3 linked regions of the Alligator mississippiensis genome follow. The protein of the gene in region 1 interacts with the protein of each later gene in a pairwise test. Links are inferred from orthologs where the notes say so. Each region holds a gene or a part of one and is shown on either strand. Other genes may lie near its edges.

Evidence for each region. The genes of interacting proteins can lie anywhere in the genome.
Region 2: the proteins of CBY2 (region 1) and MMAB interact in binary tests that used the Homo sapiens proteins (3 or more experiments, as listed by UniProt). The two-hybrid records come from large-scale screens. The link is inferred for Alligator mississippiensis from reciprocal best matches to the Homo sapiens genes CBY2 and MMAB.
Region 3: the proteins of CBY2 (region 1) and FAM161A interact in binary tests that used the Homo sapiens proteins (3 or more experiments, as listed by UniProt). The two-hybrid records come from large-scale screens. The link is inferred for Alligator mississippiensis from reciprocal best matches to the Homo sapiens genes CBY2 and FAM161A.

What each region holds. Positions count from the first base shown.
Region 1 is NC_081824.1:411,420,679-411,424,429, forward strand, and holds the start of CBY2 (protein chibby homolog 2), read left to right. Parts: upstream 1-1,564; 5' UTR 1,565-1,736; intron 1,737-3,751.
Region 2 is NC_081833.1:5,119,131-5,122,881, forward strand, and holds the start of MMAB (corrinoid adenosyltransferase MMAB), read right to left. Parts: upstream 2,533-3,751; 5' UTR 2,518-2,532; coding exon 2,367-2,517; intron 272-2,366; coding exon 178-271; intron 1-177. Other genes in the region: MVK (mevalonate kinase), read left to right, coding at 2,699-2,776, 2,862-3,009. UniProt on the Homo sapiens protein: Converts cob(I)alamin to adenosylcobalamin (adenosylcob(III)alamin), a coenzyme for methylmalonyl-CoA mutase, therefore participates in the final step of the vitamin B12 conversion.
Region 3 is NC_081824.1:212,486,970-212,490,720, forward strand, and holds the start of FAM161A (protein FAM161A), read right to left. Parts: upstream 3,044-3,751; 5' UTR 2,999-3,043; coding exon 2,873-2,998; intron 1-2,872. UniProt on the Homo sapiens protein: Involved in ciliogenesis.

The DNA of each region.
Region 1 (3,751 bases):
ATAGTTCTAAAATTTTTGTCTTTCTTCTTTGTATGTGTGTATATATTTGCCTACACCTATTCACCAAGTTCTACCTGAATTTGAAGAGTTTTGGAACTTCTAAAATTGCATTTTTCCAGCAAAGAGATGATTTGCTGAAAAAATTCACCCAACTCTAAGGAAAACAGTACACAGAAATATTAAGAAAAAGCAAAACATGCAACAAATATACATTAATCCTTGTTGTAATTACTAATTCAGAAGAATCAGGCTTTCTTCTTTTGATCAGTACCCATTACTGGGCCATTCTTGTTTTCATTAACTGATCTCTTAAACATTTCAGCTGAGATCTGCTTTAGTAGGTCCCATGTTCTTGGTTCTCCAGCAGTTCAGGATCACCCATTTCAACCATCACCTTCCCTAAGGTGACCTGCTATCATTTAGCACACTTTAGCTCCCTTCTCTCAAAGGCCAAACACAAACTCCATGCAAGGAGCTATTTCCCCACTCTCTATTGTAGAATACTTGAAAATAAACATAATGCTCCCTGGAGAGTTGCCATAGTGATTTGTGATGCTGTTGTGTTGTCTGAGATTAAATAGAAGTCAGAAGGGAAAAAAATTACAGTGACAATTTCTATACCTAAGTTTATCGTCTTTGTATAACTCAAAAATAGCTGAAGTGATTTACCTCCAGGTGATTTACCTCTAAAACAATAACAATCACCTGGAGGCTGCTGCAAACTTGGTAGTTTTCATCTGAAAAGAAAGTAACTGTTATGTTTGTTACTCTGGCACACTAATTAGATAGCATTTTATTCTGCCTTTAAAGATGTAGCATATAACATAAAATCAAATAATTAAAAATGTAAAGACGTGGAGGTGGATATAATATGGCATATAAGATAAAATCAGATAATAAAAAAAGAAGGCTCTGGAGGTGGACATAGTAGCTATAGATAATGACTGCAGGTGTGATGGATAGATGCTCTTGGCATTCTTTTAAATCAGATTTAATGCTATCCTCACTCTTTTAACTTGCAGTCAAAGAAAGACTCCAGCCGCCAAGTTTACGTTAGAAAATAATTCCACATCTCATACTGGATAGGAGGAAGTTATTTTGTCAACTTCAGCATCAGTTAAGCACTAAATCTAATTTGAATATCTTAGGTGGGAGAAATCATTATCTCGAAGGTTAGTGTTGAGAAAAGAATTTTTTTAACTGATTTCAAGATGTTATATGAGAATGGAAAACAGGAGGATGACTTGAGACAACTTGGCTTGAGAGAATTAAACTGCTGGACTTTTTATATGGAAAAATAAATCATTTTTGTTAAAAACACACGCAAGCATAAATCTGGAAAAATCAGAAATGATCTTCAGAAACTGTAGTGAGACCAGTTGAAAGTAAGACTGTAGCAGCAGAAAACTCAGAGACTTTGGATGCCGCCACAGCCTACCCAGGCTTAAGAGATGTTGCCTTTCACCCAAATCATTTGTAGTGTTACAGTATCCAAGCACAGCCAAGAGGTCTATGTCATAATGAGGATGACACGTTACTCTTTTATTGCATCCACTGGTTTGAAAACAATGGTCCTGTACATGGCCATGTTGAAAATCTAGTTTGAGGAGGGAAAGCTGAGGCAGCTTTTGGCATCTTGCCTCAACATTGATGTATCATAGTTGTAAAACCAATTGACTGTTTTGATAAGAAAAATAAAAGGAACAGGACATCACTGGACTCATATTTTCACTCAGGTAAGCAAATTTACACAGCATTATTGAAGAACATGATACAATTTGATCTTATATAAATTTGCCTACACAAACTCTACTTCCAAACTTCTTACAGGTTTAAAAGATATAGAAATAAATAAAAATGGTACGATAAGTTAAATGAAATAAAAGGTCTTCACAAAAGAAAAAAGATAGATGCAGTTCACTACAGCAAATAGCTTTGGTTTTGCCTTGATGAAAACCATGGGACTTAAACCTGGGAAAACCAGAGTAACACAGTGATCAATCAACTACTTGTTTAGTGAGATTTGAAAAGAGATGGAAATCAGTAAGATGGAGAGACACGAAAAGGATAGTTCAAATAACAGCAACTGTAGATGAGAAGGCTTCTGGTAAAGATAGTTAAATGAAGTCAGGTCTAGAAGAGCATGGAGGGGACAGTGGAAGGAAAGGGCAAAGATTGACATGGGAAGACTGAACAAATATATGGAGTTTTAAGAATGAAAGGGGCAATTTTGGATTTGACCTGGAGATAAATAGGGCCTTGAGGGAGGATAGCAGTGAGTTTGACTTAGATATTAAGGGCAGGGTGTTAGTCTGCCAACTTAAAATGAGCACATTTTCTTGATGCTGATAGAACTCTGTGGGATTTTCAAACCCCAGGGCCAACATTTTCAGACTTGGATGTTGAGGTTAGACTCATATATAGCCTTTAAATAGATACAGGCCAGATTTTCATATGCTTTGAGACACTGTCTAGGGCAACTGTCCTTACTTAGTCTCTTCCACTTATTACTGTATTTTGAGATGTGCTAGGAAAACTGTGGGGAGCTTCCTAGAGTTGGGGGTGGTGGGTCAGAAGTGTCCAGCCCTCTCAGGCAGAAGGGCTGGCAGAGAGCAAGGACCTTGTGGGTGAGAGCTTAGCTGTGTGATGAGGGCTGCAATGACCCTCTGGGGAAAGGGGTGGCAGGCTTTGAACATTATCTTGTATGGTAATAAACCATGTCCAGCAAGGGAGAGATATTGCGAGAACACTTTTTTGGCGTGGGATGAAAGGTAAGCTGAAGCAGGGGAAGTACTTAAGGCCAGACTGGGTGGGAGCCTGCTATAGTCCCACCTATAGTAAGAAAATCACGTTAAGCCACCAGCTGACACTGACTTGTGAACAAGCATGCAGTAGGAGACATAATTTGCTCCAAACAGGGATTTGTTAACAATTGCCTGAAAATGCAGAGGACTAGATTTGATGAGCCATGAGACACCTTCCCGTCGTATGTTCACAAGTGATTTACCATCAGATATGTAAAAAATTGTTTCAGGAAGAGGTGGATGGGTTAGGGAGGAGAGGTAGGTAAGGAGTGTTTCTAGAAATGGGCTGTTATGAAGAATTTGATGGGACATGTGTTTGGCATTTTCAAAAAAACACATGATAGAAGATGCAAAGAGAAGAGTGAGAGAAGAGGAGAATAGTGCAGTGACAATGCGGAATAGCAGGAAAAAATGAAAACAGGAGAGTATCACCATGTAAGAGAGTAGGAAGGAGAGTATGACAAGCTTCTAAATTACAATTACTCTTCCACTGCCAAAAGTGGTTGTGCTTAGGCATCTCATAGAAATATGAAGATTACGTTCCTGCTCACAATCTGAACTGACAGGACTGGATATAGTAAGAGACAGGGAATTAGAAGTGTGTGAGTAGAGCCAGGTGAAAGTTTACAGTCAAAACCTTCTTTGCTTGCAAGATTTCTTTGCAAGGCAGATTTGTTCTTTTTTTCCTTCAAAGGTTTAGTCTCTTCATGAATTTGTGTCATTAGCTTAATGATTTTGGTCAAAAAATGTGACAAAAACATGTTGTTTCACCATTGTCAATGTGTAATTCATAGATTCATAGATTCATAGATGTTAGGGTCGGAAGGGACCTCAATAGATCATCAAGTCCGACCCCCTGCATAAGCAGGAAAGAGTGTTGGGTCTAAATGACCCCAGCTAGATACTCGTCTAACCTCCTCCTGAAGACCCCCAGGGTAGGGGAGAGC
Region 2 (3,751 bases), on another chromosome or scaffold:
CTAATAGCAAAGTAAAAAAGATGAACTCCTAAGCACAGTGTCCCCTTTACAAAAGATCTGTAGCAACAGCATGGCATGAGCATCAGAACTTTGCTTTTGAGAGATGCTTCCCAGTTTTAAAAAAAATATGCAGAGGCAAGCAAAGGTCAAATAACAGAAAATTTATGGTTTTGTTACCCAATAGCTGAACTCAATTCATCTGTTGTTCCCAAAGCTTCAAATACTTGATCGTCTTTTGACCTCCTCTCACCTGTGAATGTGCTGGAAAATCCTTTAAAAACAAGCCACAAACATGAAAAGGGTTTGGAACAGACAGGCCCATGACTGGAACAACTCGTTGCAGTGGCACTAAGCTGGGGCCTGCAGAAGTGGCAATCTTAGGTCTGTGTTACAGATGCAGGAGGGGGACGTCTCTGCCTCTGTGTCCTTTAGAGACGTGCTGCACCCAATGCACTGGTATTTCTCTGGTATGCTTCTTCTACTTGAACCTCCCTAGACCCTCCATCGCTGACCCAAGGGTGGCTGTTCTCAGATGGCAGCCTTTTAAAAACAGATTTGAACGGGACACTGCAGAACAAGCAATTGGCCAGGGACTGCACTGCAGGGTTTAAACAGGGACGATGGATTCTCCCCCACCCAGTACCTGGATTCGTTTCAGTGAGTCCTTTTTTCCTACAGGTTTGCTAGTCTCTTCCAGCCCTACTCACGCCCCCTCCACCCCCCGGTCTTTGCTGTTCCAACTTCTCTCCCCTTCTTTTACTCTGCTTCCTGTGCATCTTCTCACCATGTCCCATACAAGTGAGCTCTAGTTCACAAAAGCTCATGCATAAATAAATATAATACCCATCATCTCCAGCTCAGGAAACCTTGAGTTCTCTCTCTGCCTACAGATTCATATAAATCTCTACCTTTAGATCTCTATAGGTAAAGAACACAAGGTTTCCTGCACTAGAGTTTAAATCAGTCTCTATCTATTGTCTCCAGGGCAAGAAACCACGTGCATGCTCTCTCTTGCACAAGGTTTTCTGTGCTGAAGACGATTCTCCTTCTCTGCACAAGGTTTCCTGTACTGGAGGTATCTATATACAGATTGGGGATAGATATGTAGATCCCTGTAGATACAGAGTACAAGGGGTCCTGTGCTGGAGATCATAGAAGTCGGGTCGGAAGGGACCTTGGAGATCTTCAAGTCCGACCCCCTGCCTGGGCAGGAGGGAAACTGGGCTCAAGTGACCCCAGCCAGGTAGGCATCAAGGCGCTTCTGAAAGACCCCCAGGGTAGGAGCCAGCACCACTTCCCTTGGAAGTTGGTTCCCGATCCTAGCCGCCCTGACTGTGAAGTAGTTCTTATGGACGCCTAATCTAAACCTACTCTCCAACAACTTGTGGCTGTTATTCCTTGTTATCCCGGGGGGCGCTAGGGGAAACAAGGTCTCCCCCAAACCCTTCTCTTGTGAGTTTATAGATGGTCACCAGGTCCCCCCTCAGCCTTCTCTTGTGGAGGCTGAACAGGTTCAGGTCCCGTCGCCTCTCCTCGTAGGGCCTGTCTTGCTGCCCCCTGATCGTGCGGGTGGCCTCCTCTGGCCCCTCTCCACGCTGGCCACATCCCTCCTGAAGTGCGGTGCCCAGACCTGGACGCAGTACTCCAGCTGCAGCCTGACCAGTGTCACATAGAGGGGGACGATCACCTCCTTGGACCTACGGATTAAATCAGTGTCTATAGGTAGATACATCTATATCATCTCCAGTGCAAGAAACCTTGTTGCACGCTCGCTCTCTCGTACAAGGGTTGCTGCACTGAAGATGATGGCTATCCGTCTTCTGCAGAGCCGGAAACCTTGTGCTCCGTATCTCTACGCTGATTAGACAGAGGTGTAGCTCTCCATAGGGCAGAACACAAGGTCTGTGCGCTGGAAATGAGACCTGTCCATCTCTTCCTCTCGTCTACAGGGGCAGGAGACCGTGTGCACGCTCCCTCTCGCTCCCCTGCACCAGATTCCCTGCACTGATTTATCTGTCTGTCCATTTATCGATCACCTCCAGCGCGGGAACCCTCGTGCTGCATCTCATCTCGACAGACCAGGGGTAGAGATGTCCATCCCCACACATGCTGAACGCGAGGTTCGTGTGCTGGAGACTCAGTCAGCCCGTCTGTACACAGGGAGCTCTCGACCGGCTCCAGCGCAAGAGCCCCCGTGCTGTCTCCCTCACAGCTCAATCACCAGAGATGATCTCCACCCCCCCCTCCATCATCCCCACTGCGGGACGCCTCGCGCACGCTCGCGGCCTTGCACACGGTTCCCTGTGCTGCAGACCCTATGGATGCACCAGCCTCTCCGGCCCCTCTGCCCCGCGCGGGGCCGCTACCTTTGTCCCCGGTGCGGGTGTAGACCCGCGGGGCGGGCCTGGCGGGCGGCTCCGCCCCGGCATCCGGCGGGACGGGCGCCCCGCTCGCCCGGCGGCACAGCGCCCCCGGGCCCAGCCGCCGCCAGCCCTGCCGCAGCGCCGCCGCCGCCATGACACCCGCCGACCCCTCTCGGCCGCCGTCGCGCTGCCCTCTGACCCCGCTCCCTCCTCAGGATTGGCTGGGCGGCCGGCGCCGCGCCCCTATTGGGCGGCGGCGCGGCCTATCGGGGAGCAGCCGGGGGGTGGGGCGCGTCACTGGAGCCCTACGGCGGCCGAGCCGCGTCAGTGCGGTCATGCCTCCCGAGGCGCTGGTGGTGTCGGCGCCGGGCAAGGCCATCCTGCACGGGGAGCACGCCGTGGTGCACGGCAAGGTACCGCCCCCCGACCCTTGACCCCGCCCCCCGCCCGCGACCCCTCCCCGCCCCGCCCCCGCCCCTGACCCCTGTGTGTGCGCAGGTGGCCGTGGCCGTGGCCCTGGACCTGCGCACCTTCCTGCGCCTCCGCCCGCGCCGCGACGCCCGCGTCCTCGTGGCCCTGCCCAGCATCGGCGTCCGCCTGGGCTGGGAGGCAGCGCCGCTCCGCGACCTCCGCGCCGCCCTGCCAGGTGAGCGCCCCGGGGTGGGGGGGGGAAGAGGGTTTTTTTGGGGATGGAAGGGGGTTTTTTCAAACCTATTTTGGGACCTTTTCAGTATCCAGGTGCGCGACCCGGCCCTATTCTGTTTGCTTGGCAGCAGCCCTGCTGACTGCTTGTGATAGAGATCAGTCACCTCCTTGCTGGAGCAACCGTGTTGCGCAACGCGCCCTCGCTCCCCGCGGCGGGTGGAGCGTGGGAGCCGCGGCAGGCGATGCTCTGAGCAGCGTGCGAGCGTCTCTCGAAGGGGGTGACGAGCGAGCCGAGATCCGGCCCTGCGGGAGGGGTGCGGCCCTGGGAGGGGGGTTGTGTCGGTGTCGGCACTAATGGGGCGTCGCACCAATGGCGAGAGGGTCCCGCTGCCACGATCGTGGTCGGGCTCACGCTGCACTGAGGGTTAGGAAGGAATTTGACCCCGTGGATTGGGGAGCGGGGGGGTCAAACGCCTTCCTCTGTCAGCGGGGCACGGCCTGTGCTGGGATCTCTTGAGCGCGTCGTCGAAGCAGGGCGCTGCGGTTCCCCTGTGGCAGGCGGGGGGTGATGTCTTGTGCCGTGTCGGGGTGGACGGTAGTTTTGCTAAGAGGTTAGACTGGGTTTGTATAGGCTGGTTTGGGTGGGGATGGTCCTGCCCCGCGCAGGGGTTGGACCTTGGGAGGTTCCTTCCACGCCACTGCTGGGCAAGGCTCTGGTCCTGGGAGCCGCAAGCGCATTGGGG
Region 3 (3,751 bases), about 200 Mb from region 1:
CGGTACACACCTACTCTTTAAGGTTTTGGGAAGTTAGAAAATACATATTATGAAAACAGGTTATTCTAGATTTTTTTAAAGAGCTGTCCTTAAATAATTTTTAACATAATGTATTTTAAGGTGATATAACTAATTTGTTTGGGGTTTTTTAAATCTATGATATTAGGATAAAAGTTTGCTTTGTAGAGAACTTCAGAGTTCTATCATAACTGCTGTGTATTTTTAATGCACTCCTAAATTCTAACAGAAAATTATTGTTTTGAATATACTTATAGTTAAGTTTTCACTCCATTAGTCTTCAAGTCAAGTTTCATACAGTAGAGAGGGCATAGCACAACATGAACCTAGTTATAGGATCACAAAGACATGAAATAGTAACAGATCTCAATTAGAGTGCACCCATGAAAGACCAAATTTAACTAATTAATATATCTTGGTATACACCTCCTTGCATTTCTTTTGACCTTGTATATATAAATAAATCCATATAGGAAGATCCTGGTCTTTTCTCTTGAATTGGACATAAACTAAATCCACTCTTCAGACACTTGCATGTAGAAAGCTCATTAAGAGATTTGTGAGGGCACAAGTGATGCAGTACTACCATCTGTTTTCTAAATTAGGAAGACAGCATGCTGTGTGTATATGTGTACTACTACATTATTTGTCACTCAGATTTTAGAAATGCTCTTTTCAAAGTCTGTATTTATTCTAAATGTAAAAGTTATTCACCAACTCATAGCAATGCCCATAACTTAGCCAAGATTAACTAAATTCATGCTAACCTGTACTTTCGTAGGTGAATTTGGGGCCACCCCTTGATTCAGTCTCTCGGGAGTTTCTGGGATAGGGCTCCTCTGAATGGGGCTACTAATGATGCGTTTTGCCTAGGGAATTTAGACACTGTGAACAAGATCTCCTTGCCACTTGCTGCAGCTATAGAAACATTGAGGGCACTTGTTTTAAGCACGGTGACAAACTGGGTGGACACCACCAACTATATAAATACCTTTCTTGACCAGCACATTGTATTATGAGGATTTCTTAAAACAAAATGAAATTAATAAAATTATATTTTATATATTACCCCTTCTGCCCGCCCCCCAATGAATGCTCTTCCGAAAAATAGGTGTTGGGCTCCAGGATCATTTAGCTGAGCTTCCAACGTATTCCGTATCTCTGCAGCAACAATTTGTCCTACTTCCCAGAAATCTCTCAGTTTTTTCCAAGTCTTCTTTGCTTTTCACCACCACACATTTCACACTTCCCTTTCTCTCGTACTCATGATTTCCCTGATTATCAGGAAAGTTATCTAGCTTTGCTGCTGCTTAATGACAGTTGTAACATTCATCTCTGACCTCTCCTCTATTTCTCTATTCCCCTCCCTCCCTCCCTTCCTACCTTTCATTTTTAAGTATTCAGATAATTTTCTCTGTTTTATACACTGCTTTGCACATCTTTTCACAGGATCTGATGAAATGAACTTGGGCTCAGGAAAGGTTATGCTACATATACATGTATATACATGTGTGTATATGGGTATATATTTATCTGCACGTATATTTGTGCATGTGTGCGCATATATATGTGTGTATATGTGCGTGTGCACGTTACCTAGAGAGGTGGTGGAATCTCCATCCTTGGAGGTTTCTAAGGCCTGGCTTGACAAAGCCCTGCCTGGAGTGATCTAGTTGGGGCTGGTCCTATTTGAGCAGGGGTTGGACTAGCTGACCTCCTGAGGTCCCTTCCAACCCTAATTTTCTATGATTCTATGTTCAGCTTAAGGAAAAGGCGCTTGAGGGGGAACATGATAGCAGTTTTCAAATTCTTGAAAAGCTGCCATAAAAAAGAGGGAGAACACTTTTTATCTGTAGCTGCAGAGAGAAGGATGTGGACCAGTGGCTTGAAGTTGTAGGAAAGATGGTTTAGATTCGATATCAGGAAAAACTTCTTATCATTACAATAGTGAGGCAGTAGAATAGACGGCCTAGGGAAGCTGTGGACTCTCCATCACTGGAGGGGTTCAAGAAGATGCTGGACAGCCCTGGTTGGAGATGATGTAGGCACAGCCTATGTACTATGGGTATTTCCCATGCTTCTGGGCTTTGCTGCTTGCAGCAAGGGAATGGGAAGGAATTATGGCCTCCCCACCCCCTGTTTCTGCTGCATGCCAGGGCTTTATTTTTTAAGTTTTCCTTAAAAGCATTGGGTGTTGGCTGCAGCCATAGGTGGGGATTGCAACTGGGTCTGCCAGTGTTCCCGCTGAGACTTAAACCCAGACATTCCTAGCTAGTGGGTGTTGCCCCTCTGCGCAGGATCAAACTAATTGCTGTATTTGGGACCAGGAAGAAATTGTATCCCGTGCACAGATCGGTACAGGCTGGGGGGGTGGGGGGGGGGGGGGTTGTCTTCCTCTGAAGTGGGGACAAGGCCATAAGCAGGATGTTAGCTACTGTTAAGGCTAAGATTATGGATAGTGTAGGACGGTTTGGTTAGGGATGATCCTGTGTCAGGGTAGGGGGGGTGGGACTAGGTGACCTCTGGAGGCGTTTCCTGGCCTGACTTCTCTTTTTTTTTGGGGGGGGTGTACATGCCTGCACACACACACACACACACACACACACACGTGTACACATGCACAAGACATGTGCAGACGTGTATACATAAATACACACACATACATGTATATATGTGTGCCCATATGTACTGCAACAGCAATGATTTGGCTTGTGAGCTGCAAGTCTAGGCTGCCCCCGCCCCCAACCTTTCCTTAACCGTGCCGGTCGCCGCCCCCCGGGTTGGCAGGCCCGGTCCCTACCCCCGCCCCGGCACGTGGCCGGTTAAAGCGGCCCCCGCGGGGGCGGGGCGGTACCTGCTCCTCGGCGGCGACCGGGCCCTGCTGCCGCTCGTAGAGCGCGGCCGGCGCGCGGGTGCGCGCGTTGACGGGCGTGTGCAGGCAGGAAGCGACCAGCAGCGCGGCTCGGTGCGCCGCGTCCATGGCGCCGCGGTTGCCTGGGACGCTACGGCGGCGCCGCCGGGACAAACCCCCGGGGCGGGGCGGGCTTCCTCCTGCCCCCCGGGGCCCGCCTGCGTGGGGGCGGGGCACTCGGCGTCACGTGACCCTCCCCATTGAGCAGAGCGGTGGCGCCAGTGTGGGCTGCAGAGCGGGCTCGGGCAGGTCACTCCGCGGTTGGGGGCTTTTCTCCAGCTGAAAAGAACTGAGAAGTGCGGCGGGGCCGATCTTAGAGTTTGCGATTGTTTCGTTCCTAAGCCGTTGCTTCAATCAGGCTTTAACTCCTGAGGGGTGTTCTGTAAAACAAATTGGGCTGCCCATCACGCGGCCCTAGTGCAATCGGAGACCCCCGCCCCCAAGTTATGTTTTTCAAATCTTACAGGGGGGGCTCTTGTCTCCTGGGGGGGCCTCAGCCTCCTCAGATTCCCCATAAGCTCCCCAGCTTCCCCTTCGGTGACTTCCAGGGCAGCTGAGGGGAAAACCAAGAGTAATGGTCACAAACACAAACTTCAGGCTCAACACTAGAAAACATTTCTTCACAGTCAGTGTCTCCACACTGGAATAAGCTCCCTCCAGAGGTGGTGCGATTGCCCACCCTGGAAATATTCAAGAGACTGGAGGGCACCTTGCTGGGGTCACCTGACCCCAGATGTCTTCCCGGCTTGATGCAGGGGGCTGGACCCAGTGATCTTCAGAGGTCCCTTCCAGCCCCTTACAATCTATGACTTGAGCCCTGAC